4 linked regions of the Styela clava genome follow. The protein of the gene in region 4 binds, or shares a complex with, the protein of the main gene of each other region. Links are inferred from orthologs where the notes say so. Each region holds a gene or a part of one and is shown on either strand. Other genes may lie near its edges.

Region 1 (6,700 bases), on a different chromosome or scaffold from region 4:
TTGCCCTTGGGGAACATGCACAATTCTACAGGGTACGTCATACACATAATCTATGCATATTGATATTTCGAAAGAACCAATCCACTCTTTTGACCCCATAAATGAATGCTCCTTATCACCCATTGAAACCAATGCATGCTGAACCTCTGATATAGATGGTACATGTCCTGTAATTTTATCATAAATTTTGTCATTGTTTGTGGTTTCATTTTTACTTTTTGTCCTGTTTTTCTGTTTATGATAATGTATCCAACTGCACATAGTCTGTAGAGTTCTGTAACCACAACCCCATCCTCTGTCGTCTACTCCATCACATAAATAATGATAATACGCATATGTGCCTTTGACCGCTTCAACTTTACAATTCTCCAAAGACTCATTCAATAAATCACGGTGGATATCATGGGGTAATTCATCAGGGAATTTTGTTGATTTGACCGGTGACATGCTCATGGCTATTCAAATTTATCAATCAGATTCAGCATACTAAAATATGAAATCACAAGACCTAAATAGTTCAAAGCAGTATTAGGTACGAAAATTGGCACGAAATTGTTATGATTGAAATATGGTTCATGTGGATGAAATGGCAACAATCACTAACATACAAAACCAAAAAAATTCATCAATTTGTCAGTGTAGGTTGATGCAAAACATGCCAGATAAAAGCAGCATAAATGGTAAAAACATGATTCTTATTGGTGGAAAGAGATAATGAAAAACTGCAATGAATTTTTGGGTCACAGTAATGTATATCAAGAAGATAGAGCAATCAGCTTTGTATTGACTATCAAAAATTACCTTCTAATCATGTCATAAATTTTCGATTGAATATGTTAATGAATTCTCCCTGAAATTTCAACCGATAAAATAGATTTTGATAACTGTATTTTGAGATACAAAACATACATTTAGATTTTGACTATGCTCTTATTCACCTTTTACCAATTACAATGGTGAATTAAAATAATGAGGCTCTTAACGCCAGACATATTTGTTGCAAGATATTCACTGCTTTCTGAACTTGGTATGAATCAAACACTGAGATGTCAATTTATGTGAACATTGTAGGATACTATGACAGAATTGTGATGCAAATTCATGATTTTATTTTCTCAGAGATAAATACACTTCAAAACTGCTACTAAATTTGGAGTTCAGGAAATATTCTTCAAAAAATTCCTGACCAATTTTTCCGGGTTTAGTGAAACAAGAAAGACAATAAATAAAACCACATCGCCATCCCTATTTTATGCCACACTGGCATATGCTTTAGGTAATGTAAATAGCAGAATATTTATTGTTCACATAACTAAAATTCAAGTTTGGTCATTTTTTTGTCTCGTCTCAGTGGTGAGAAATAAGACAAATTTTAGATAGCATAATTTTCAAATAGTGATACTGCAACATAGAGCATCGATTTTCAATATATTAATAACTTTGGAACAGATAGTTCATGAGTGTAAGTACTGTCCATAATTTGACTCAGTATTGATAATGAGATATTTTGTCAATACTCGAGACATTCTCAATGTATGCAATATTCTATCATGTGAAATGCGCTAGTTTAAATTTCATTCACACTAAATTGCACCATAAATGTCTCTCATTGTTTGCTTTGCGCAGCTTCTTTTCTTGCTGCGTCTTGAAGTAGTGTTGTGTCGACCTCATCAGCTGGAAGTTGCACATATCGAACAACTGACCCTCTTATAAAACAATTTTTCACAGATAACATATGTGGATATTTTTCTGGATCTGTTACACTTATGTCTGTTAATTTGATATTCAGATATTGATCCACTGAATGTAAAGTTCCACATATACTTAAATCATTCTTCAGTTCCACAACAACGTCTTTTCCCACAAGTGATTTAAAAAATGAGTAGAATAACATGATTCCTATCAAAATGAGATTCTGTATTAATACTGTAATAAGTTTATCTTACTGACCAGGCAGCACTTTGCTACCGTATGTCAATAAATAAACAGTTCAAAGATTTTTATATAGTATATAAGTAGTCTAGCCTAACTGTAATTTCTGAAATTAGAAATATGATAATACTGTAGTAAATATCAGTTTTATAGATAACTTCCCTCGGAGTCGGACCATAGCCAGATAGCCCAGCAGCTGTGAAAAATTTTGCATTCTGGTTCCAACTTGTAATATTCATCCAAGTCATTGGTATTCGTATATCATATACAGATATACTATCTCACTACAGCACCAATCACACCAGCCCACCATAGCTAAATAAGTTTAAATATTGGTACATTAACAGACAAGGTCTATATTTCTATCACTGTAGGCATTTTCTGGCGCTTCATCGTGGTTGTTGGATAATCCGGAACTGAAATTCTGTCGGTTAACCGGATCAAAAGTAACGATACGCCGGTATGCGTAATATCAATTAAGACGTTAACTTGATAATTATGATGAAGAAATATGTACCGGTATGAAGACTCTTCGTCACACAACAAACAAACTATCTAACTCGGGTGTCATTTACAGTTTACACGACTCAACAGTCAGCGCGTTGTACGTCCTACGAAATGTAAAAAATTAAAATTTTATTATAGAAACAATAAACGCAAAAATGCATGATTTTCTTTCTTGCAATGTATGTGCGTATATTTCAAGAAAGATTACTCTAAAAAATTTACAAACGCTGTTAGCAGCAAGAGGTTTATAAAATAAATAATAAACTAAACGGCAATAAACATAAAAATAAAATCAGTCTCCGGTAGATGCTCGACTCAACACTCGACATCATAATAACATTTTTATATGAAATCAACAGAAAATTTGAAGAAGAATATAAAAAACCTTACAATAACAGAATAATGGGAAAATATATAGCAACAACAAATAAACGATTTACCCTAATTTGATGTAAATTTATGAGAACAAAGTTAATTTTTCCCAATTTTCTAATAATGAATTTCGTAGAAACCAAGTTTTCAGAAACATGTTTTTATTAACATCAATAACAAATAAATTCATTTTCTCGGGGTATTAAAACACAGATTCAAATATTTAGATGTAAGTTTCTATCCGTACGACGTACATAGTTGGTGTATTATGTTAATATGATTTTCTGCTTATGACGTGTTACGATATTATGTTCGTTTTTATTATTTGTAACGCTTTGTCAAACATATCCTATTTAATCTCTGGGAATATTTGACAAAAAAAAACAGAACTCATTGAGGTGCAACAGCATATAAAATGAATGACTAATTCGAAACAATTTTCAGAAAATGAAAATTCATATGCCAGAAGACCACGATCGAAAAGTAGAAAGAAGCCTCTTAACAAATACATTAAATTTGAAAAAAAAATGCATCAGACATTTAGGTGAAAGTTTTTCACGCGTCGACCTTTCAATGTTTGCTAGCTCTGGTGATAACAAGACTGAATTACTTTGTGGATTCGCGCAAACGACCTGAAGGGTTATCAGTAGAAGACGAATTGCTTTTTCTTAATTTCAAAACACCAACCAGGAAACGAAAGCATTGGACTTAAAATAGTTACAATTGCTCTTTTCTGACCTTACCACGTGTGAACTTTTTGTCATGTATGTTTGTATTAATATATATATTTTTAATTCGAATAATTGCTATCTGGCCTCATTTATAAGCTAAACACGATAACAAAGTAAACTATTTACGGTTCGCGCAAACGACCAAAGCACCTACCTAGATCAATAGAGGACAAATCGCTCTTCTTACTTTCAAAAAACCGAAACATAAACGATATCCGGTGCGATACAAATGCGAAATATATTTGTGAAAAGCGTGTTCAAAAAACAATGAAACTGTTATGATCAATCTTACTTTGTCATTGAGTAAAATACCACGAACATTTTCATTTGAAAAGCTGTTCAAAAAATCAAATCTAAGATATTGAGTTGGCAGAACCAAACTTTGTGATCTATGGATATAACTATTGAAAGCTATTGTGTTTTTATATAAAAGTTGTAAGCTACTATTGATATCCACCGTATCTCCAGTATATATATCGTATCGACTGCATGCAAAGGTATTTATGGTTACACAATGTTGGGAATTGAAAACAAATTCAGCGAATGGGGAATGTAACTAAGATTTATCGCCTCAATCAATACTTTTTATTAATTATGTGTAAATTCAATGAATAGGTAATTTTCTCTATTTCCTGATTATGATTTATCACAACAAGCAACGAGTCGTAGCAATGCTTCTTTGTATCGACCGATTTGTGACGTGTTCCCGGCCTTCATTGGAGAGTTGAGAATAAAACAAATAAAAGAATAAAATGTTTTGTGCCTTTCTTTACTGCCGCACAATTCCGCACCCATGGGCAATTGTACCCATACATTTGCACCTTAGATTTTAGCACCCCCATACAAATTACGCACGTTTGCACCCAGATACATTTCTAATCACGAACATTTGCACCCATGCAAAATCGTGTTAGATATATTTATTATACACACCAAAAATATCTTTAAACTATTTGAAAAAGTAGGCTATGTAAATTTTCGGCAATTTTCAACAATGGTGGAAGCTTTGTAATATGTTTTGCTATCTGCGCGATAGAATCAATAATAATACACCATGTGTTGTTTAAGTACTACAAAAATTTTATAGCTACGAAGACCAGAACCAATTAAAACTTTCTCAGCCTCTTTTCGAACTAACTATACAAGTGCAACTGTAGTAGATTCTATCCTTCCCATTCAGCTTCAAACCATGTGCCAGCTACTGGTGATCCGAGGCCGTATTTTTCGGCTATCTTCTTTGCACTTTGGCCACCTCTGAATCCGCCATTTGGGCCTATTTTCTCGTCCATAAACTTTATTTTGTCCGATTGTTGGAAAACTAATATGACGTAACGGTGTGGGCCTAAAAGTGACACAATATATATAATTAAAATATGATTTTTAGCTGTTCTATGTTCAAAATTTTTCCAAAAATACTGCAGTATTTATGCAAAAGAAGTTTATTTAATCTCACTATGGAGAATCATATCTATGGATAATACCTGTTCCTTTGGGAGGCGTAGATCCCATGTATGTGGTGATTACTTCTCCTTCGTTTACGTTATTCTCTGGGATATTGATGACGCCCCAGTGAAACCATTCGCGAAATGTTGGATTTTTCCGACTAGGAGCATCTAGGTCCATCATTAACAGGGTATAAAATTGATCTTTCTCCGCAGTCCATTTGACTGTAGGTGCAAACTTTACTTGTGTTGGTGTCAATTTCGTTCCCCCTTTTTTGACATCTATGCTTCCAAAAGACACTTCTGTCTGCTCGCATGGTGTATTAAGATTTAAATCAGATTTTAGATCATGCTGTATCCAATCTTGGCTGAATGTATCAGTTTCCGCAAGTACTTGGGAAAAATCATCACCGATAACTAAATTGAAAAATGGAGAGAACTTAATGTTGCTCTAAATCAACGCAATGTAATGCATTATACATTTCCTATTATTTAAGTTTCTACAATTTTCAGTGCTACCATGGTTAATGATTTTTGTTTGAATAAATGTAAAGCAATTACTCCTCTAATGAAAAACTATTCAAATACTACATTACTACTCATATTTTAATATCAATACAAATATCACGCGACGAATTAATATTTTTATACAGTATAGGTAAGTCACTTTAAAAGTGAATTATCAGTGTGTTGAAATTCATTAATTCAAGTGCGCTATCACAACACCATTGCTTAGGAAATGTAAAGATAATGATCCAATAATTGTCTCAAATTTCAGATTGGAGAACAATGAACTACAAACACAATTTTACCAACTTACAATCATTGATAAACATATCTGACATCCAAGCTGTTAATAAAATCAATCAATAAATAGATGAACTATCCATCAGTTAATAAATTAAGTTAACAAATTATCTAATATACTCACATTCATGTCCGTAGCAACTGTAAAAATATAAGAAATATAATTATTTAGTACAAATGCGTGAACAAAATGGTTGCTTTTTCTGCAATTCTTATAAAAATGACTGTTTACATTTCGAAACCCAAATAAATATAAATTTTAAATATAAACGAACATATGTAATTGACTCTTGTGTTCTGTTATTTGCAACAGTGAAATATGTTTTTATTTCTATGCATTCTTGTGCATATACAAAATGCCAGACTATAATTTCCTGTTGCAGCAGATTTACAATAATCACATTTTTTTGATATCTGAAATTACGCAAAATTAAATAAGTCAATGAATATAAATCGATATGACGGGTAACGTAATATACATATACAGCCACTAACGTACATATACAGCCAAGTCAATAAACATAGGATAGGATAGGATTTACATATTTATCCCGGGGGAGAGGAAAGCCGATAAGACGGCTTAACCATATGGCGAACCACGGCCTCTCGTCCGGTTACCATTCCAAGTCGGGTATGGGATTAGTTTTACTGTATTGTTTGTTTTCGGAATCATGGACTTGGTGGTGGAGGAAGCCGTAACCGACCAGCGGTTACGTGAACCACCCAATGACGGCGAGGAGTCCAGCAATCCTCTCGCACATAACCATCCCTGCATGGGATTCGAACCTGCGAACGCACGCAGAGTAGTAAGAGGTGCGGTGGCGAGCGTATTCCTAACGCTTAGCCCGTTGAGCCACACCGTCGCGCCGCGCCGCGCCGCGCATATACAGCCATTCAAAGAATGTGCAT
Region 2 (7,086 bases), on a different chromosome or scaffold from region 4:
TATCTTGGACCCTAGGCCCATTAGGGATGACAAAAAACCCAAATTCCAAACATTGAATATTTTTCAAATGAAAAATAATTTTGAGAAGCAGCATATATACAGATATCAAATTCTAACTTTCTTACTTTTGTTGTCTGTAACATACAATTAAAAGAACAACAGTTACCATCACATACCTCTTAAAGTATTAATTTCCTCACAATCAGGAACTGACCACAGTTTACACAAACCACTCCATGACGTTGTTGCAAGTATTTTAGAATTAGGACTGAATTTACAAGAAGATATTGGCCTTGAATCACCGATTTGACTTCCGACACTGTTTACCGCCTATTAAAAAAGTAAATATATTTGATCATTTGTTCATCATATTTGTTAGCTTGTGGTACAGTTGGTCAATTATTCCAACACCTACCTAAGCTGATAACCAACTAAAATATGTGGTTTGAGTTTTACTCTCAGGTCTTGAAAACTGATTTGGCTTGGCAAAATCACAATGATTACGGAGCCACAGTATATTCAAACTGTGGGTTCAGCTCCGAGACCTCATTTTTTTTACCTCACAGGAGTCACAGCCACGCTATAAACTACTCATTTCAGTGCACAATATAAAATAATTCAATAATTCGACTTTTATGGAATATCAAGTCCAAGTCCTTATATAATTTTCTGTTCGAGTAACAGCTGATTTTGTCAATGAACATACTCGCATATGCCTGTGTATCTCTTGTACCCTTGCATGTTTTTGTGTTGTTGATTGCTCCTGTTGTTCTCTCGCTTTCTGCAACCTTGCCTTCGCCCTGAAACAATATATAATATATTTCAGTAAAAAATTTTCCAAAAATTGACAATATCAAAACTACAATAATATGCCATGGCCTAGTAGTTGACTTAACTGTGATACACATATTAGGTTCAAATCCCATCCCCACTGTAGGCAATGATGAACTGGAAAGACTTGGATCTCCACAAAAATAGTGGCTCTTCATATATCAGTGGCATCTTGAATAGGGCCTTGTTCAGGACAAACGGTTCGAATAAACGTATATTTTAAGTTTCAATTTATAATGAACTGGCACCACTAGTTTACACAGAAAGTATTTAATTTCTAATTTACTCTATATTTTTACTAAATTACCACTTTTATCAGGTTAGTTTATATTTTATCAGTGTGATCAATAATCATTACTCTCTTACTTGAGCAATACTACGTTATCCAATCTTTCCTTGAAAAATCAAAAAAGTTACCTTGGAATAGAAAAGTCAGCAATCCACATTCTTGCTGCCTTTAGACTTTCTGGACCTTCGTGATACCATGTTGTCTTAGCGAGCTAAAAGGAAGAATATTATAAGCCTCTTTACACATAATCCGTTCTTTCAATCACAATCTCTTAATCAGTTTAAACGTTACCTCTTCTTTTTCTTTCTGGGCCAACAATTGCTTCTCTGAAATTTTGTTTTTCTTTAAATTATCTTCACCAATGAGTCCAATAATCTCACGGAGACGTTCCCTCCTGTCCGCAGGACCTTCACCAAACAAGGTTATGGGTTCGCCGAATTCTCGAAGTTGTTTTCTCACCTATTTTAATCACATAATGTTGTCTAATAGCTATTATTCCAATTTTTAACACAAATTGGGCCTAAACAACAACTTGAAAAGATATTATTACTGGAATTATGCTACTATACTCGATAGTTGGGATGGAATTGTACGAAGCAGAAAATGCGGGTATAAGAATGTAAGTGTTAGCAGTTCCACAAAAAAGTTTTCGTATGAAAATCCTCTGACTAGGAATATACCCTATTAGTAAAAAATCATTACTTTTGTTTGTAAAGTTTTATTCCTAGTTAAATCTGATGAAGTTTGTTGACTAAAAAATAAAACATGACATTTGAATGAACAGTCAAAAATGGGGCTTTTTAATAATTTGTCTTTGAAGATCATAGTAAGGATATAAGGCTTCCTATGCATATTATTTATGAATGCATAGTTTTTTTGTTTACAAATTCTGTGAAGCTATTAATTTTATGTAAACAGAACATGGTCCAAGCCAAATTCAGTTTTGACTTGATTTGATTTCCACTAAAAAGGTAAATGTTTTGAAAAAAAAACTTATAATCTTAAGCATAGGAAGTTATAATATTGAATTCTCATAATGAAGAGTTATTTACTTAGATTTTGGGGATCCTTATTTATAATTTAATACTAAGTTTAAAATGTGTTGGGGTAGTCAATTTCAGGACGCTTAAGTCGATCCAATATAATAATACCTCTACGTCATCTGTTGTAACTTGGATTTGTCGTAGCTGTTTCTTTCTTTCAAATTCAGCAAGAATTTCTGCTTGTCGTTTATTTATTCTGTCTTCAATTGACATTTCCATGGTATCACCTGTTAAAAATTTCAATTGAATAGGAAGCAAAATTCTCAGTTGAAAACATAATAAATTATGTTGCGTAAAAAGTTAGAGTGACAGCTCAGTGGATAAAGCATTGCACTTAGATATGTTGAAACCACATATTTAAATAGTGGGTCCAAATTGAAGCAAAACCTACTTCCTAATTAAAATTCTGATGCAATGGAAGTTGATATTAGTATATCTGTATATCAATTTAGTTTTACCAAGATGTGGCCTCGTGTGTTGTGTACCCCAATATAAGTGACTGCTTGTATACAGCCTTATTCAGAGAGAAATGCATGTAAATTGTGTTCACAAAAAACTATAAAAATGCTGTAATACAGTGATAAAAGTAACGCAGAATTCATAACATATATTATCAATACTTACTCATGTTGGTGATATTAATATTTCCTGCTTTAATTCCAAGCTGAATTGCTTCTTCCCCAGACATACCGACTCTGTTTTCAATGCTTCCATATTGGACAGTCTTCCTAATCTTTCTTGGAGCTTCACCATCAGAATCGGAGTCAGACATCCTTCTGTCTTTTTTATTTGGAACAGTTTACTTATTCATGCATATATCCAGATAATAATCTGTTAAGTAAAATACTCTCTTAACTCCCAGTCAACTTCTGTGTTTACTGGTTTATAACAGTACCGTATAAGCACAAGGCGAAAACCAGATATCCCATACGATAGTACAGTAGTATCAATGACTGAATGGGCAAACAGGAAAATCTGTTTTACCACGGTACCTTCGAAATCGGCCGCGCCAAGATGATCCCCTACTCACGTTACAAATTAATACCAAACAAACAGAAAATCTTCACTGATTGATTATGAAAAGCCGGAAAAATAGGTATGAATGTATTTCAGAATATGGCTACGACACTTTCCCACATGCAGACGGGAATATTAGCAACAGTGGCCTCGAAAACTCTCCTAAACACTGAAAAACCGATTTCAACAAATGCGCATGGAATCCTAACACAGTCCCGGAAAAGAACAGAAAATTCATACTGATTGATTATGAACAACTATAGACGAAGATATGTAATCGTTTTCATGCTATAAATATACCAGTGCGAGGCATGCACGCTAACAAGTGATAGGATTGAATCGGTACGTTAGTCGTTGGATTGAATGGAACAACCGCATTAAAAACTAATTTCAACAGATGCCGCATTGTGGGCGGAGCCTAGAGTGAGACTATGCGGCGATTGGTCCAAATAATATTGTCTGACTGTCTGGCCGGTTAATGCTTGAGTCGGCACGGTATAAAGTTGTGCAATCTTCAGACCTTGCGGCATTTATTTGCGTTTGTATCACCGTGGGCAGGTGGGGAGCAATGTCTGGATGTTGGTTGTCTTCCAAATAATAAACAGTGGTGTGGATGAGTTCTTTTTAAAATGCCTCGACAATATATTTGAAAATAACGTCGGAACAATCAGAGACTGTGTTCTGGCAATCGAGTTAGTTCAGGATTTATTGTTGGCTTGCAGACTTCATCGCTGTCTTACTTAACCTGTTAACGGAAAAAGCTATTTAGGTGAGTCGTTATGCATGTAGTTTTTGATGTAGGCATACCAGTGAGAATTTGTACGATTGTAATCAAATATAGCTTTTGAAACATGAAATAACCCACAATACTGCAATATTGAAATAGAGACAATGCCTGAATGCACAACAGTGCTGCAGTGGGATGACTGCTGATTGCAACATAGAGCTTACAGACTTTAGGATGTATGATACGAACAGAGCAATGACAGTTATCAATAAAATTATTTTCATGGTTGAATGTATGACAGTAAATTCAGTAATTTGTTTATATATTCCTTTCTGAAATATCTTGTTTTTGAGGCATTTTGAAAGTAAATTATTTTTATGAGAATGTTGAAAATTGTTTTGATATAGACTTGGCCGTTTATTTGTGATATGTTTTAGAAATGAAAATAAACCATAATTGTGCTTTTCAGGTGATCCACAATGTCAACAAGTTTTTGTTTAAGGCCGCTGATTGGTCGACTGAAAGGAAGGAGTATATGTCCACGTTTTTTCTCACAAGAGTCATGTTCAAATCAAGAATTTATGCAGAATCGTTATAACGAACTGAGAGCTCTTATTTTTGATGACCATCAACAGATTTGCAATGTTAATCCTCGTGGACTTTTTGCCATTAATCAAATCAATTTGGGAGAAATAAAAGTTTATGGATTTGACTATGATTATACTCTCGCTCATTATTCTGATGACATGCAAACATTCATATATGACAGAGCAACTGAAATATTACACAAACAGTTCCATTTTCCCAAAGAGCTTTTGAACTACAAGTACGTTCCAGGGTTCTGCATTAGAGGTCTTCATTATGACATTCAACGCAGTTTACTCATGAAAATAGATGCTTGTCACGTCATTCAATTGGGTTCAGTGTACAGGTAAAACAATTTGAATATTACATATCACATGTTAATAACAAAGATAAGGATGACAGCGGTGCAGTGTGCAGGTCACGTATTTGCTGGTCCAATACAGATTCTTTCACCAGCCATAAAAAAAAATTATAAAAAAACGTTTCCACTTGTTCAGTGTCTTTAAAAGTTACGAATCATGAAGGTTTGAAAACTTGTCATCCAAGTATTAATTGACTTGCTCACCTATTTCGAGTTTGAGTGATCATGCTTGCAATATGATTAAGACGTCTACTTGGCTTTCCACTGCCCCAGGATAAATATGAAGATCCCATATCTGAACATAGAATTGATAGCATCCAGATGCTGTGAATGCATCGAATATTTGAATACATCTGAGATATATTTTATACAATAGAGAAAAGGCATTTTTTCATTTGACCAGCTGAGGCGGAAGTCAAGCCAGTAGTGGAAAAAATTAGCACAACTCTTTATTTTTGAAAATCAATACTCATATAAATTTTTTTAATATCTGTTCTTAACAGGGGGCTAAAACAGCTTAGTGAAGATGAAGTACTGTCTCTATTTAAAGGAAGTCGTCATATTCCAAAACGTATCATGGATGAATCTCTCTTTGGAGGAAATTCTCTCAGACAGTTGCTGGATATATTTTCAATGCCTGAAATGATGTTGCTCACCAATGTCGTAGAGTATTTTGTCCAAAATAATATAACTTATGACCCACAGATTTTATTTGAGAGTGTGCAAGCAGCTGTCAAGCAAGTTCATGTTGGAGGTATGTTTTAGTTTATAGTAGATCTGAATATACCTGAATTGAAGCTCGACGACTATACATAAATCAAGTTATTAATTTTGTAACCCGAAATCATGAATCAGGATATAATTCTTTTCGAGGCTTTGGTGAAATTCCCTATATAATTCATTAATGACTATTATGTATTATACCTAATCTCTGATGTTAAGTCACCTGTTCATTAATTTTCAAGTACTGGATATAGTTCTGCATGATTTTCACACCTAATAGTCTAATACTGATCATCATTTGTAATTGATTAAGTTTAGAAGGTATTGATGATGTGAGAATGATTCTTTCATTTTTAACAATAGTAACCTTTTGAACCTAACATTAAATGCTGATTATTCATTAACCTGACTGTGCCTCTGAAACTTTAAATCTGATTCCAAATAGATATAAAACAACACCTGGTTGACTAAAATTGTAACTATGACAACTGTTCCAGGAAGTACAAAAAACAAATTGTACCCAACCCCACGATACCAATCTTCAGCCATGAAGATCTGTTCGAACTGGGGGGAATTAATGTGTGCCGGAGTATCCCATAATGTATATAACACTGTCCTCTGAAATTGCCTGATTGCAAAGTAAAACAACATTTGTTGACAGAATTTAGTATGGTGCATTGATATGTAGATATCAGTAAATGCTGTCAAGTCTTACAGCTATATCAATTTCAATTTTTTTCACATTAATGACCTGTAGACGTTGCATCATTATTGCAAATGCTTTACAGTGAGTAAAATTGGGTTTTGAAAAATGGTTGTTAGCCTAAAACCCATTTTTTCTCACTTCACATTGTCATTATTTGTTATGTCATCTGAATCAGCAAAAAATTCCTTGCAGCGTTGCAGGCTTGCCCGCACCATCACTACTATGGCTCTGAAATTGAAGCTCTGGTGTTAACCAACAAATCATTATTCTTTTTCAGGCCATCTTTTTCAAGAAGTTTATGGTAATGTGGATAAGTATCTTAAAAAGAATAGTTTAACTCATCTGATTGATCACTTAACATCAAATGGAAGAAAGTTATTTCTCATTACCAACAGTAACTTGCAATTTGTTAATGTTGGAATGAAGCATCTTATTGGGAAAGATTGGAGAGATGCATTTGATGTTATTATCGTTGAAGCAAAAAAGCCAGGATTCTTCCAAAATTACAAGAGGCCATTTAAAAAGATTATAGAATCATCTAGAAACGGTAACAATGGAGATAATAACCATACTGTATCATGGGAGAGGGTACATGAATTCACCAAAGGCAATGTATATTATGGAGGTTGTATACAGGACTTGATGCAAATATCTGGATGGAGTGGACATGAGGTAAGACTGCATTGTGTGATGACCTAGAGCAGGGGTGTGCAACAGGCGGCCCGCGTGCCATAACCCGGCCCCTGTCAACACTCAGATTTCCCCAATCAAGCATAAAATCCGAATCCGAGAGTATGTTTAGAA
Region 3 (7,032 bases), on a different chromosome or scaffold from region 4:
CAAAATCATATTTCCTCATACAAACGTAATCCAATTCAATTAGCATTTTCGGGGTCCAATTGACCTTTTGTTGTAGCTGAAGCCATGCTTACCAAAATATCTAGTGGTTAGGGTTAGGCCATAATTTTATTCCGGTTTTCCTTATTTTAGTTCTATTACGAGTTTGGGGACTGTCTGTATTAGCCAAGTAAATATACCCCCTGCCAATAGGTTTCAGTCCCTTCACACAACATGATGTGAAGTAAGCGAACAAAATTAGTTACTTTCATATTGGTACACATACTTCTGGAGCGCAGGTATTAATCTTTCCTGCTTATTATTTTCATGTACTTTTTATTATTGTAATATTATCTGTATTATCAATCACTGCATGTATTTTTAGAAATTCAGATTCTAGATAAAATAATTTACTTTCTTCAACAAAAGGAGGGGGAACCACCTACTTAAAATTAAACCTGGTGAGTTTATTTTCATTCTGTTTGTAAATCAAGTAGGCAGTAAGAATGTTGGAGTTCACTTAAACTATATTGCATAAAATGAATTTATCATTCAATCTTCAATGCAGCGGTTCCCATCAAGGGGCTGTGGCCCACAGATCAGTTGGAAAAACTGATTCTGCCTTTCTCTTCACAAGAAAACTCACAGTTCTTCCTAGTTTCATTGCTTGATAAGGTTATTTCACAGAGTGTTTCACTTTGTTGAGCAGGAATTGTTTGAACATGATGAGATGGAGGGACATGAGTGCTGAAAGCCTCTGGCCAGGAGCCATAAATGATTGGCAATCACGGCTTCAATGGGTCCTTAGCGTTGGACTTCACTTAACTCTCCATGCATCCCTCCAGTGGTTTGATGATATGCGTGTTTCAACGCTTGGACAGTGGTGCCCAACCTAGTTCGTTAAATTCCTCTCGTTACTTATTAACTTTTTATTTCTCCCTCACTACCCATATGAACTACCTTAGTTATTCAGTCTTTAATCGATCCTTAGATAGTGTTATGAGCATGCCAGACTCCTTTTGTGCAGATTAATTAGTGCATTATGTGTACATAAATAAGGGTACTCCCATTCCAGGTTAGGGTAAGGCCCTAATTTTATTCCGATTTTCCTTATTTTAGTTCTATTACGACTTCAGTGACTGTCTGTGTTAGCCAAGTGAATATACCCCCTGCACATAGGTTTCAGTCCCTTTATATCGTTCCAATTATACCTATTTTATTCGTAAACTCATCTGACCTTCAAATTTTCTGCTTTTCTAGCGACCGCCCTGTATAATGCATATTGTTAATAAGCTTTAATGACTGCTTATGCGAGGCCATGTTCAGAGCAGAAGGCATGAATTAGCGCAGACATGGGCAAAGTATTGCCTGCAGGCCAAATCTGACATGTTGAGTGATTCAATCTGGCCCGCCTGATGCTGCCACAACCAAACCAAAACCAAATTTTGATGTTAAGCTAAAAATAGCTCAAAAAATTTGTTGAGATTGCAGTTAAATTTAGTTTTTGCGCGAAGCCTGTTGTTCTCCACTTTTTCTTTTGTAAAGCTGTGAATATTGTTCATAAAATAACTTTTTGTGGCCCGCCAGTCAACGTGGGCAAAATTTTCGGCCCCTGACCCATAAACTTAGCCCACCTCTGAATTGGCATCGTATAAAAATACCTCTGTAATGTTACATTGAACATTTGTATTTAGACAACACTTCGTAGCAAAGGCCATGTCAAGTCCTGAGGAGGAGGGGGAACCCCCTGCCAGAATGATAAAGCTATGCTCACATGATTCACTGTCAAGATCGAACTTAGTGGTTGCAAACAAAACTGAATATGATGTCACAATAGAGTGGATTGATTTGGCAGGTGACCGAGTTTGCTATATAAAACAATTACGTCCAGGAAAAGCAGTTGCAATTGTTACTTACGTCGGCCATTACTGGGTGTTTTGTGAAACAAACTCTCGTCACCCTCTAGTGGTAATTCCAGGAAGGCATTCTGTTTATTTCCCGATACCAAGTCACGAACGTGAATACCAAACAATCAGGGTTTCGAATCCTTTATTAACTTTACAACAGTCGTGTTTAAACTCAATCCACCGGAATATATTATCAAATTACTCCCGGATGGAAAATATTTTTCAAGAGATTGACTGTCTTGAGCTACCAACGTCAATTACGAGATCTCTGAAAAAACTTTTCGAAGACCAGAATAATAAAAATATACCGATTTATATTTACCCCGAAGAACTTGAGGAGTAATATATATTTTTTTTTTTTGGAGGTGGTTCTTAATCTTTTTTCTTTTAAATCATGAATTAATTCTCGGTTAAAATTCATTCTAGAATTGTTGAGAAATAATAATGTTCTCATTTTCGTAAATAGCAATAAAATTGCAATATTTTCATTTCGTTTTTGTGAAAAATCTGTATTTCTTTTCATCAGTACATAAATAGCTGCTATATATAACGCTGCGTTGTCTCTTTACCCATTTACTATTTCATTACTTTATAATAAAATTCTTAGTTTTCCTCGAATTAAGAAAAACTATAGCTTAGAGCAGCGGTTCCCAACCTTCTATTGATCATGGTCCCATTCAGAGGGCTCTTAACACACATGGCCTGCTGTTTATCATTCCAATGGTATTTATAGCGTTATTTTGATTGGTCGATTCCAAATCCTATTACCGTATGTTCAAACAACATCATGCACAAAAAAGCAACGAAAACACCCTGTGAAATAACCTTATCAGGCTATAAAACTAGGAAGAACGAGAGGTTTTCTTGTGAAGGGAAAAGTTAAATCAGTTTTGTGCCAAGCATTGTGGCCCTCCCTCCAACTTCTCTGTGGCCCCCGATTGGGAACCGCTGAGAATTCCGAGTGTGTCATATTTTTTTAAATACTGTATTATGTCTTTGGAACTACTTTTGATTTCAATCAATATTAATTTCACACAGGGACGTTCAAAACAGATATTGGTTATATTCGATTTAGTAAATTAGGATAGGATAGGATTTACATATTTATTCCGAGAGAGAGTAAAGTTGATAGGACGTCTTAACCATATGGCGAACCACGGCCTCTCGTCCGGTTACCATTCCATGTCGAGTATGGGATTAGTTATTTGTTTTCAGAAGCATGGACTTGATGGTGGAGGAAGCCGTAATTCTTGAATTCAGGAATAATTTTGAATATTTTCTTTTGAAAATGTCTTTTTGAGCATTTATTATATTGTGACAGACAAAAAATTAGTAACTTCTCACAGAATAAAATGGAGAATACCAATTAAAACGGTATTTATCCCAATTATTCCGCTTAACCAAGTTTGATTTTATGAATCTACAATTTTCTTCTTTTGAAGAGACTCATTTCAGAATGTATTCGATATTTTAAATTCAAAAATATTATTTCAGGAAGTATTCGTAGTATTACAGTATTCACTCTTCGCTTTAGTTTTTAATCATTTTGGCTTCTTACTCTTGTATGACCTAATATTAGACTTTTCCTAGGTGTCACTGCTCGATAACCAGCACAGGTTTATTGTTTCCCCTTTTCACCCAAAAAGGCTTTTTTTTTCACCTCGTTTGGGGCTCCCGAAGTATGCGAACCAAGATGGCGGACATCGGAATGTAATATGTGTACTAGGTTAGGGTTAGGCCATAATTTTAGGTATGAATACTACGGGAGGCTCTTCGAACTGATAATAGGACTAAAATAAGGAAAATTGGAAAAAAATTATCGCCTGACCCTAACCTGTTACCCATGTTACGTTCCGATGTCCGCCATCTTGGTTCGCATACTTCGGGAGCACCCCTCGTTCTGTATGTAAAAATTATTCACAATATGGTGAAAAAACTAACTACTGATTACAGATAGATAAAATATTCTTAATTATTTCTCTCATTAATTGTTTAACATAAGTGTTTCTAAATATGCTTTTGTATCGGAATAACTGTTTTAAATATATATAAATTACTTATCTATACAAATTTTCTTTTTTATTTCAGTCTTAGTAAGACATATGCCCTTAGCAATGCTACCTTTTCATTTATCGGCTGATGATAAAGTTTTAAATAAAAATTTCCTTCATTAATTGTTTATATCAAGTAATTCCGAATACTAAATATGCTTTTGTATCAAAACAACTGTACTAAATATAACAAATTTTCCTTATTATTTCAGTTATTGTAAATCTTAGACAAAGCAATTTTAGCAATGTTACCTTTATCTTTATTAAAGACAGCTGTGAACCATCCCATGCTGGTGGAATTGAAGAATGGAGAAACGTATAACGGACATCTGGTTAATTGTGATAATTGGATGAATATTAATCTGAGGGTAGGTTTTGCTCTTGGTTATGGATTTGATCATTCAAATTTGGAATCGTTATTTCATCAAATTTCTATGAAGCAGGGTTGAGATGCTTGGCGTGGCACAACACTGGGTGATCCTCCCCCTCGAAGGTTGAATCCTCTGGGAGATAGAATAAGATTTACATATTCGTCCCTGGCGAGAGAAAAGTCATTAAGACGGCTTAGTCGTATAGCGAAGTACGGCCTCTCGTCCGGTTACCATTCCAAGTCGGGTATGGGATTAGTCAGTTATTTGTTTTCGGAAGCATGGACTTGATGGTGGAGGAAGCCGTAACTGACCAGCGGTTACGTAAACCACCCTATTGGGCAAGGAGTCCAGAAATCCTCTTGCACATAGCCATCCCCAAATGGGATTCGAACCTGCACACCCATGTAGGGTAATCAGAGGTGTGGTGGCGAGTATATTCTAAAGCTTAGAACAATGCTATAAGTTTGAAATGATACGAAGAGCTTGTTCATATGAATGATTGTTTTTTTTTTACATTTCAATGCAGTGTTCAAGTTATCTGACTAAATAACAACATGTTTGGTGATGCAAATGAAGTATTAAACTTCCAGGCAAATCTCATCAAACCTATCCTAAGATCAGGGGCCAGGTTTTCAAAAGGGGGCGGTTCTGAAATTGGGAATAAACACACCAGCTTCTAAAACAGGCGCCGTGATTAAGTTGAAATGAACTTTTTCATCGGATAATGATTTTTCTGTTTCGTAAAATGTTCAATCCAGGGCCGATGTGAAATAGACTTTTCAACCCACAAATTACCACACACCGAAGCCCCCCCCCTGGTAATTCCCCTGCCTAAAATTAACAGAACAAAACAGATCAGAAAATTGATGACGGAGCGTTACATGAAAGCTCTCCCTATTTTTAATTTTTCATGTATCTTTTCATGTCTCAGGAAGTCATCTGCACTTCAAGAGACGGCGACCATTTTTGGAAAATGCCGGAGTGTTACATACGAGGCAGCACAATCAAGTATCTACGAATTCCCGATGAAATTATCGACATGGTAAAAGAAGAAAATTTCTCTAAAGGTCGCGGAAGAGGGCGAGGTCCAAGGGGCCGTGGAGGAGGCCCGAATAGAGGTGGATTTGGAGGTCGTGGAAGGTCACAAGGGGGAGGACGTGGAGGCCAGGGAGGGAAAAAACCACAAAGACCCAAACCCCAAGAGTGATAAAGGGGAATCAATTTGATGTGTCTGTTTGGAGGAGAAACTACTACAAGTCATTCTTGTGTGGTTACTGAAAGAAATTCTTGTCTGATAAGTTGACTTGATTATTTATTCACATACCACTAGCTCGTGGCTCGATTCATGATTAGTTTTTTTGCTAAATAACCATTCAAAGTTGAGTCTCATTTACCTCTGATTGAGTGCCCATAATGCACCATTATAGTCATAGTCTAGTTTATTTTTTCCCATTCAGTAAAAAATAACATACGAAATTAACAAAATACAAAACTGAAAACACATTTTTACTGGGGAAGGGAAGTCGCGGGGAACCAGGAATGGTTATCGAGCAGCGACACCCGACATTATGATTCTATATTGTTCCAGTAGCTTTGACTTTTTTAGTGATTGCACATAACTTCACTCAGAGATGAGTCCACTTTACTTTTTGGTGAGTGCGCATAGTGCTTCATGATTCTATATATTTTTAGTGGTCGCTTTCTGCGATTGCACATGACTTCGCTCAGAGGCGAGTCTTCTTTACTTTTGAGAGAATTCTTTTAATGGATAATTTGAACTACGGTCTCTTGTCTGGTCACAAGTTTAGGGTGGATATAAAAATAGTTACCGTATGTACTTTTTAGTTATGTAATTCACTTCAGGTTCGTGGACTTGATAGCCAGGAATTTTCAAAGGGGGGAGGGGATTCTTAAATTTTAATTGCCAAGTTAAACCATAACAGCTAGTGGGTCTCAATGCTTGCAATATTCGAGAAATTGAATTGCCTTACATGTTCTCTCCCCGGGCTTTGCCCTTGTTGGTGGCGTCCTAAACTAAAATGTCTCGTGTTTTAAACCTCAAGCTTTGGCAATATTCCTGAATTTCAGCTTTGTGTGTTTGTATTTTTGTACCAATGTTATTTCACTAATCAATCAAGTTTGGAATACAGAATAACTGCTGCAATGTGAACACTGAATAAATTTGTGTGGGAACAGGATATTTTCATATTTCAGGAAGTTGGTTTTCTTATTTCAATCATAGTTTCTCATTCAGATAACAACGAGTGTAGAATATGGAAATAAATATCCGAACCAGATATGTGGCGCTGTTTTTTTGCTGGTAGTTAGGGAATGTGTTTTTTTTTTCGAAGTCCAGGTAACTTCGCTTCAACATACATACATGTATGTTTATTCGTCTCGTAAATACACTCTTAAGGCTTTTCGAGTAGTTATAGTTCTCAAAAGTTTGAATACTTTTCAGTTCTCACAAAACTACATTCTCACAAAAGTACGTTTTCCCAAAACTTCATTCTCACAAAAGTACGTTTCCCCAAAACTACATTCTCACAAAAGTACTTTCTCGCAAAGCTACATTCTCACAAAAGTCCGTTCTCGCAAAACTAGATTCTTACAAAAGTTCGTTTACGGCTTTATGCAAAACTACATTCTCGCAAACCTACCTTCTCACAAAAGTACTTTCTTGAAAAGCTACATTCTCGCAAACCT
Region 4 (7,016 bases):
GTGATAACTGTTCTTGTGGTCTCTGCGCTTTCTGGTATCTCGTCCTTTACAATATAGTGATTGATAAGTGTTCCTGGAAACATGAAGTAAACAACAAAACAGCCTTGATCACTTTGCTCTCATTCGGACCATTAAAATACAGTTTTGATTATAAACCGTGTTTATGACTGTTTGGAATAGCAAAAAAGTGTGGTCAAGGGGAATTCTGGTTTATTTCTGTAATACTGCTGATTAGGTTTATATACTAGCGAAGCAGGACAGGATTCTGTGCATTCGATAAACTTCATGCAAAAATTTGTTCGTGTTTAGCACCATGATTCAGCCTGGAGAAGTTAATATTGGCCATTCAGTAAAGGTGTGGGAGTCTGGAGACACTTGGAGTTCTTCAACCAGTGGGTCGCAAATTTGTTCTGTTGTCAATATTCCAATAAAGCAAATCCCTTTTATTAATTGCAGTTCTGATCCCAGGATCCTCTAAATAGGCATATTTTCTAAATGTACGCAATCATACATACTCAATGATCGTAGTATGCCTTTTTAGTCAGATATTATTGAAGGAAAAGAAAGTCGTGATATCAATGACAATGGATTTCCAAAATCATGGATTTAAGCATAGGTGGTGGAAGAAAAGCACTGATTAACAATAAAAGTATGATTCGAGCAAAGTTTGTGGTACGAAAGTCAACACCATTCACCAATTTTATTAGGAAATTGTACTGTCTTTTTAAAAGAAACTGAGTATATCTTTCAATTTTGTCTCCCCTATTAAATTTCAGCATAACTGCCAGGGTTTTAATGTATTTCCCTGTTTTAAAGGATGCTGCTCATGCAACATATTCCTGACTATGCTGAACAGCATTCAGTTAGTTGTAAAATATTTGTGCAATGGTTAAAAACTTCAGTGTCATGCCATTCCTCGAAGAGGTGGCGACACCAAAATTACTCCATCACCTCGCACAAACAACATTGGAATGTTTCTTTTAGTTTGTTTATAAATTTCTTCATAAGTCTCTTCATCAATTTCAACTGCGGTCACGGTTTCTTCTACTTCTCCGAGAACCATGTTAAGATGTTGGTCGTATGCATGTAGTCGACCACGAAGTTCTCGTTCGTTTCGCATTTTTACATAAACCCTTTCGTCCAAACTCAATCGAATCAGATCAAGAGGCTCTTCTACTGTCTGTGTGACTGGCGGTGGCTGTAAAAGTAAGATTATATGTAAGTTATTTGAGCATTTTTCAGTCGTAAGTCAGTAGGGCACAGTTCTCTAATTCCAAGATGTCTCTGAAACGAGGGCATCTGGCACGACTGCAATGGTTTGCCAATGTAGAGGCCCAGACTGTCTCTTAAAAGAGGGGTTTGCACTCACTGTAATAAATGATATCTTTTGATGTAGGGGCTATCCTTTGAATCTGAGAACTGTGTCGTACTGTAAGTATAAGTCTGTTTCGACTACAGAATCAGGAGAGCAAACAAAACCTTAGATAAGGTTTGAAATTTACAGAATCATTTACATAAGAGTAGGGGTGCGGCGGTGTGGCTCATCGTGCTAAGCGTTAGGAATATGCTTGCCACCGCATCTTTGATTACTCTGCGTGGGTTCGCAAGTTCGAAACCCATGCAGGGATAGTTATGTGCGAGAGGATTGCTCGCCGTCATAGAGTGGTTCACGTAACCGCTGGTCAGTTATGGTTCCCTCCACCATCAAGTCCGTGCTACCGAAAACAAACAACTAATCCTATACCCGACATGGAAACCGGACGAGAGGCCCTGGTTCGCCATATTGTTAAGCTGTCTTAGCGACTTACCTCTCCCCGGGAGATAAATATGTGAATCCTATTTATGTGTGTGAATTAAATTAATAGGCCTACAACCGAAAAGACATAATGCAGTACCGTAATAATTGAAAAACAAACTAGGAACCTAAGATAAACAAAAATGAAAACTAGACAAAGTAATAAAAAGATATTCGCCACACCGTATGAATAATTTTGTAAGGAGTGCTAAATTGAACAGGAAACTCATATCATTGCTGCATGGAGAGAGCTTTTTCATGAAATAAAAATCTATCCTGAAGTTTCATTACCAAATATTAAATTTCTTACCGGCTGCTCATCATCTGCCATTTTGCCGCGATTTAACTCTAGCACAAGTTTTCTAGGTAAGTGACAATTTTTCGAATAGGCTTGACAAATAAATTCCCAAGGCTTCTTAGCTCTTTTGCGCTAAATTACCTGATCCCCGCGTTCCATATCGAAATGTGTTGGAGGCGTGGCATAGGCGGGGATACCAATAGAACTAGTGACCCATGACCGATAACTTTTTTATATTTCCCCTTTTCTACAAAACCATAATTCACGGAATACTGTTTTGAAAGTAAAAATAATAACCTATATTTTCATATTTGTACTTAAAAAATATACATATAAGCCATTAGTAATCAAATATATTAACCCAGATAAAAATTGATTTTTTGTTGTGAAATCTTGATCGACCAAACGTCAATCAATCGACTTTGTTTATGTCTTTCGCTGACTGGTTCCTTAGGTCTGTAGATAGAGTATCTTGGTCTTTGTAATTTGCGACTTTGTTGTATTGTATGGAATTTGTCGTTTAATTGAAACAATTTAATGTACCGGGATGCGGCGACATCAAGTTTTAACTGGAGCTGTTAACCCAGGAAATCACTGTTTCAGTGTAGGCAGCATTGCAAGTTTCACGTTTTGGGTAAGGTAGCAAGATAATATACACAACCATTTGCAGTCGTTTGTAGATTAAGTTCTTATAGCCGAAATTATTTTGTATTCAGGCATATGGATCAGGATGTGATCTGGTAATATTGGGAGTAGATCTTCAACCCATTCACATTATACCTGGTCATGTAAAAGGGTACAAACTTATTACTTGTCTGGATTGCTGTCAATTTGTTGGAAAGGTAGGCTATATTTATATCTATTTCAGTATTTGGCAAACTATATTTTAATTTTGTGGGTATGATATCCTAAGTAGAGGACTGAGTATACTGTCAGTCTGTCACTTTATGTTAGAGATCATGAGATCAAGCCTCGTTTTGTTCAATCTCAATTTATGTCCTCTACTTCATTGTAAAAGTGCCATGGTTTACATAGGTTATTTTTATTGAACCTATGCAGCATGCCACTAATAAGTAGCTTTCTGTACAAAGACTTATTTGGGGAGGTTAGGTGAAATTGTCTTATCAAAATCTTATAAATTTTAGTTGAACATTTTTAGAACTTTAATTTTCTGAAGGTATGTTCAATGAATGGCCACTCCATAAACAGTTTGTGTTGAAGGCCAATTTAGTTTAAATTAGAATATTTGTACAAATACTTTCTGAATTTTAAAAGCTTAGAATGAAATTGAATAGCATTTTCTGCTATTTATGTCACAGAATTATTGTTTACAAGTGTGTTACGAACTACAAAGCATTCACTATGATTATTTTGAATAGATCAATATTTGAAATTGCAACTTGCAGGAATACTTTTATTGTATCATTTACCACCATATTGTTTTCTAGATTGCTGTTTCATATGGACGAGACATTGTTATATATCATCCAAAACTTTTGCGAAACGAAAATGACGATGTACCGGTGAGTATTTGTCTCGCATAACTTCACAGGCAATGATACAAACTGAAACCATTTTTATTAAAATATACATTTTTCAGGTTTTTACATGGATTGAAGAAACAACATTAACATTGAAAGAAAGTGTGGGACGGGCAACTGTTTTGTCCTGGGCATCTACTGGTATGGCATTGACTTTATTAATATATATATATTTATGTTTTAATATTAATTATTTATTATTGCATAAAAATTTTGGGTGCCACTTTGGTATGCGATCTCACTTGCTTAACATGATCTCAATTGTTTAATCTAATGAAGACATTCTCATAGGATTCAGTTCCGAACGCTAACTAATGTGTCTGAAATCACAGAACCGCTGAGATAGCATCCGAAGTAGCACGCAAGTATGTTACTCTACATTTATTTGGTGTGATTAACCAACTTATTTAAATTTGAAATTGGTCGTAAGTAAATCAGTTTTGAGATGTAGATGTTCTAATTTTTCATTCAACAAATATAAGACATTTTTCGGTATATTTAGAGTAGACGCAAAATAAATTTATTTGTCTTATTGTCGCATATTTTCTCTGCTTGTTTTACTATTAATGATATCTTGTCAAATATTATTTTGAAGGTGAAAGACTTCTTGTTGGATGCAATGAGATACTACTGTATGAGATCAAAAAAGAATCTGCAAAAGAACCAAAGAGTCACACTTTAAAAGTGCAATTTTCTATTGAAGAAAGTGAGATTTATTTGTATTTCTAACAAACAAATATTAATCTAAATCTGAAAGGACAATTCAGATGTATTTTCCATCGGAACTCACAACTACGAATTAAGAGTATTTTAGATTCTATTTCCCTACTCCAGTGTAGCATAGTTTTACAAAATTTCAACTCCTGTCTCCTATGGGTTTAAATTTTTTTTGACCTCTGACGTCTAAAATTTTGCAAACTGCAATATCGTTTACGAAATATGATTTATGAAATATCCAGCCTGCGTCTTTACCTCTAGGTCTCAGAATTCACAGCTCTTAAGTTAAGTCAGGCTGTTTGCTTGTGAGGGATAGTACATGCTGGGACATTGAAATAACCAGCACAGAACCAATTTAGTTTTATCACAGTTATCATAATCATTTTTTCCCTCTTGTGATATCAATGAAATCTATCATTCTAGTTATGGAGTTTCATATTTTGACTTTCTCGTATTCGTTTGGCTTATTCACTCTAAATATTACTTATGTTTTATTCAATTTTGTTTTGCAATATTTTAGTTGAGGAAGAAGATGAGACAGAAGACAATTTTACAGCAGAAGAAGAAGCTGTACCTCAAGGTAGACTGATGGTTATATTTCAAAAACAGAAATTTTTTTAATTTCTGTTAAACTTGGATGTGTGAAATTGTGTAGGCTATAAGAAAGCAAAAAAATGGGTGCTCCCGAAGCATGTGAATCAAGATGGTTAGGGTCAGGCGATAATTTCAAGTACAAAGACTGCAGGAGCCACTTGGCTAGTCCCCGAACTCGTGATAACACTAAAATAAGGAAAATTGGAATTAAATTATGGCCTATCCCTAACCTGGTACACATACTACATTTAGGTGTCTGCCATCTTGGTTCACATACTTCGGGAATACCAAAAAGTGTTCTCTTTTCTGCAACCCAGTAGCGTTCTGAGTAGTTGCTGGAATGACCTGTCTTTGGAGTGAAAATATGTAATACTTTATAAAACGGATTTGCAGCCTTTTTTTCATTCAAAAATCGTTGATACATGGTTCCCACTTGTCAATGAATTTTCTATGCCAACATTATATTCACATTTGAAATCCGTAACATTTTTCAGAAGTAAAATGGGAGTTGGCTTGGAGCAGCGGAATAGAAGAAAATCCGCATGATGTTCAATATGCACCTGATGATACTTTGTTTGCTTCTATTTCTTGTGGTGACTCCATGATTAAAGTATGGCATCAACGAAATGCCCTGCCAATGCACCTGTTCAAAGATGCCTCCAGTCCTGGCAAAAAACACACTCAGGATGGGAATATTCAAAATGTAAGGGAATTTTCTGACTTTGTGTTTTATATTCTCAATTCTCTTGTTTTCAATTTATCATTTTTTGTGTCCTTCTCCTTTCAATGTTGATTCCCATGTGTGTGCTCGGATATTGGAATTATGTGTGTTCAAGGGAAATGATGTAGCCTACTCGTTACTATGTAGTTACATTATTCAAGGGGATTGCTGTACTCATTACTGTTGCAAGCCTCACTCCACAGTTTGTGATTTTCAACTGGTTAGTTATTTCACACCAATGTGGACTGGTAAATGGATAGAGCCTCGACCCCTGATATATGTTATTAAAAGGTATCTTTGTTATATGGATAAATATGGAAAATACTATGCTATGTTAAATGCGAGATATGTTGATAAAATTATTATATAACTTCTGTAAGGCTTACTGTAGTTTTCACTTTTCCGGATTTTAATATGTGAAGCAGTGTAGTGGTATTATTTAAATTGCTTTGGACATTTTATCTATTTGTTTGACTCCTAAATACTTAGTCCAAAAACTATTTGTACAAATAAGCTTGGACTTCAGTTTAAAAATCAGTTTTGTGGTCTCCTTCCAATTATCCTAATCCTCCCGGTTTGACGCATGCGCGACGTTTTGCAATGCTGTGTGTATACCATGAGGTCTGGAATGTTTGTTATGGTCTTGCTTGAAAGGAAATCTTATTCCCCACACAACGATATGAGAATGAACCTTATATGACATTTAGAAGTGATAAAATTTCGCTTACATATCACGCGTGTACTTCCCGCTGCGATATAAAAACGTCGCACAACAAGAAAATGATTCCATAAACCTTGGCGTTGCGCGCTAACCAATAACAAAAGCTAGTATGATAAGGTCTTATTTTGAAGGTCATTTTATATGCTACATAACATAGAAGAGTGGACATCTCACAACGTCAGGAAGTTATAAAAATATCGAGTCGTTTGATCGCAGCTGCCTCACCGAAAAAAAGTTAGGCGTTTTATCTCGCAAATTCTCCTTGTCTGACGATTATAAGCTTTTATGATTCATAATAAATGTTTTATTATGACTCACAAAAGCTTTCAACGCGATAAAGCACAAACAAACAACCGATCGATCTATCAAGCTTAGCCTGGCCTGATTCGATGTGGTGACTTCTCAAACGGAAAATTTCCAAAACGCTTCAACAACGCGCGCTATGGAAAAGCGTTTAGTATCATATGAAAGAGAAAACCAATGTGCAGTCAACTGTATAGTCACATTTCAGCTTTACAATAGCTGTAGACGTCTATCAGCTGATAGAATGAGAGAGTGTAAATATTTTTGTTATTTTTTGACGTTACGAGAGACCTCTTGAAAGAGGTGTTTTAGTTTACGGTCCTCCA

The links.
Region 1: U6 snRNA-associated Sm-like protein LSm3 (region 4) and U6 snRNA-associated Sm-like protein LSm2 share a complex: the UniProt entries of both Homo sapiens proteins name them as parts of the precatalytic spliceosome. The link is inferred for Styela clava from reciprocal best matches to the Homo sapiens genes LSM3 and LSM2.
Region 2: U6 snRNA-associated Sm-like protein LSm3 (region 4) and U4/U6 small nuclear ribonucleoprotein Prp4-like share a complex: the UniProt entries of both Homo sapiens proteins name them as parts of the precatalytic spliceosome. The link is inferred for Styela clava from reciprocal best matches to the Homo sapiens genes LSM3 and PRPF4.
Region 3: U6 snRNA-associated Sm-like protein LSm3 (region 4) and U6 snRNA-associated Sm-like protein LSm4 share a complex: the UniProt entries of both Homo sapiens proteins name them as parts of the precatalytic spliceosome. The link is inferred for Styela clava from reciprocal best matches to the Homo sapiens genes LSM3 and LSM4.

What each region holds. Positions count from the first base shown.
Region 1 is NC_135250.1:9,209,688-9,216,387, reverse strand, and holds U6 snRNA-associated Sm-like protein LSm2, read right to left. Parts: upstream 2,034-6,700; 5' UTR 1,895-2,033; coding exon 1,607-1,894; 3' UTR 509-1,606; downstream 1-508. Other genes in the region: ufm1-specific protease 1-like, read right to left, coding at 1-453; protein D2-like, read right to left, coding at 4,706-4,884, 5,024-5,401, 5,805-5,834, 5,916-5,932. UniProt on the Homo sapiens protein: Plays a role in pre-mRNA splicing as component of the U4/U6-U5 tri-snRNP complex that is involved in spliceosome assembly, and as component of the precatalytic spliceosome (spliceosome B complex).
Region 2 is NC_135254.1:14,596,036-14,603,121, forward strand, and holds the start of U4/U6 small nuclear ribonucleoprotein Prp4-like, read right to left. Parts: upstream 3,009-7,086; 5' UTR 2,936-3,008; coding exon 2,788-2,935; intron 2,391-2,787; coding exon 2,272-2,390; intron 1,580-2,271; coding exon 1,412-1,579; intron 1,332-1,411; coding exon 1,249-1,331; intron 801-1,248; coding exon 707-800; intron 331-706; coding exon 177-330; intron 1-176. Other genes in the region: 5'-nucleotidase domain-containing protein 3-like, read left to right, coding at 4,387-4,838, 5,357-5,607, 6,560-6,954. UniProt on the Homo sapiens protein: Plays a role in pre-mRNA splicing as component of the U4/U6-U5 tri-snRNP complex that is involved in spliceosome assembly, and as component of the precatalytic spliceosome (spliceosome B complex).
Region 3 is NC_135262.1:751,471-758,502, reverse strand, and holds U6 snRNA-associated Sm-like protein LSm4, read left to right. Parts: upstream 1-4,144; 5' UTR 4,145-4,200; coding exon 4,201-4,323; intron 4,324-5,257; coding exon 5,258-5,533; 3' UTR 5,534-6,524; downstream 6,525-7,032. UniProt on the Homo sapiens protein: Plays a role in pre-mRNA splicing as component of the U4/U6-U5 tri-snRNP complex that is involved in spliceosome assembly, and as component of the precatalytic spliceosome (spliceosome B complex).
Region 4 is NC_135261.1:10,469,729-10,476,744, reverse strand, and holds U6 snRNA-associated Sm-like protein LSm3, read right to left. Parts: upstream 2,268-7,016; 5' UTR 2,127-2,267; coding exon 2,106-2,126; intron 1,199-2,105; coding exon 905-1,198; 3' UTR 531-904; downstream 1-530. Other genes in the region: dmX-like protein 1, read left to right, coding at 2,641-2,727, 2,810-2,935, 3,542-3,616, 3,694-3,775, 4,230-4,340, 4,872-4,931, 5,440-5,648. UniProt on the Homo sapiens protein: Plays a role in pre-mRNA splicing as component of the U4/U6-U5 tri-snRNP complex that is involved in spliceosome assembly, and as component of the precatalytic spliceosome (spliceosome B complex).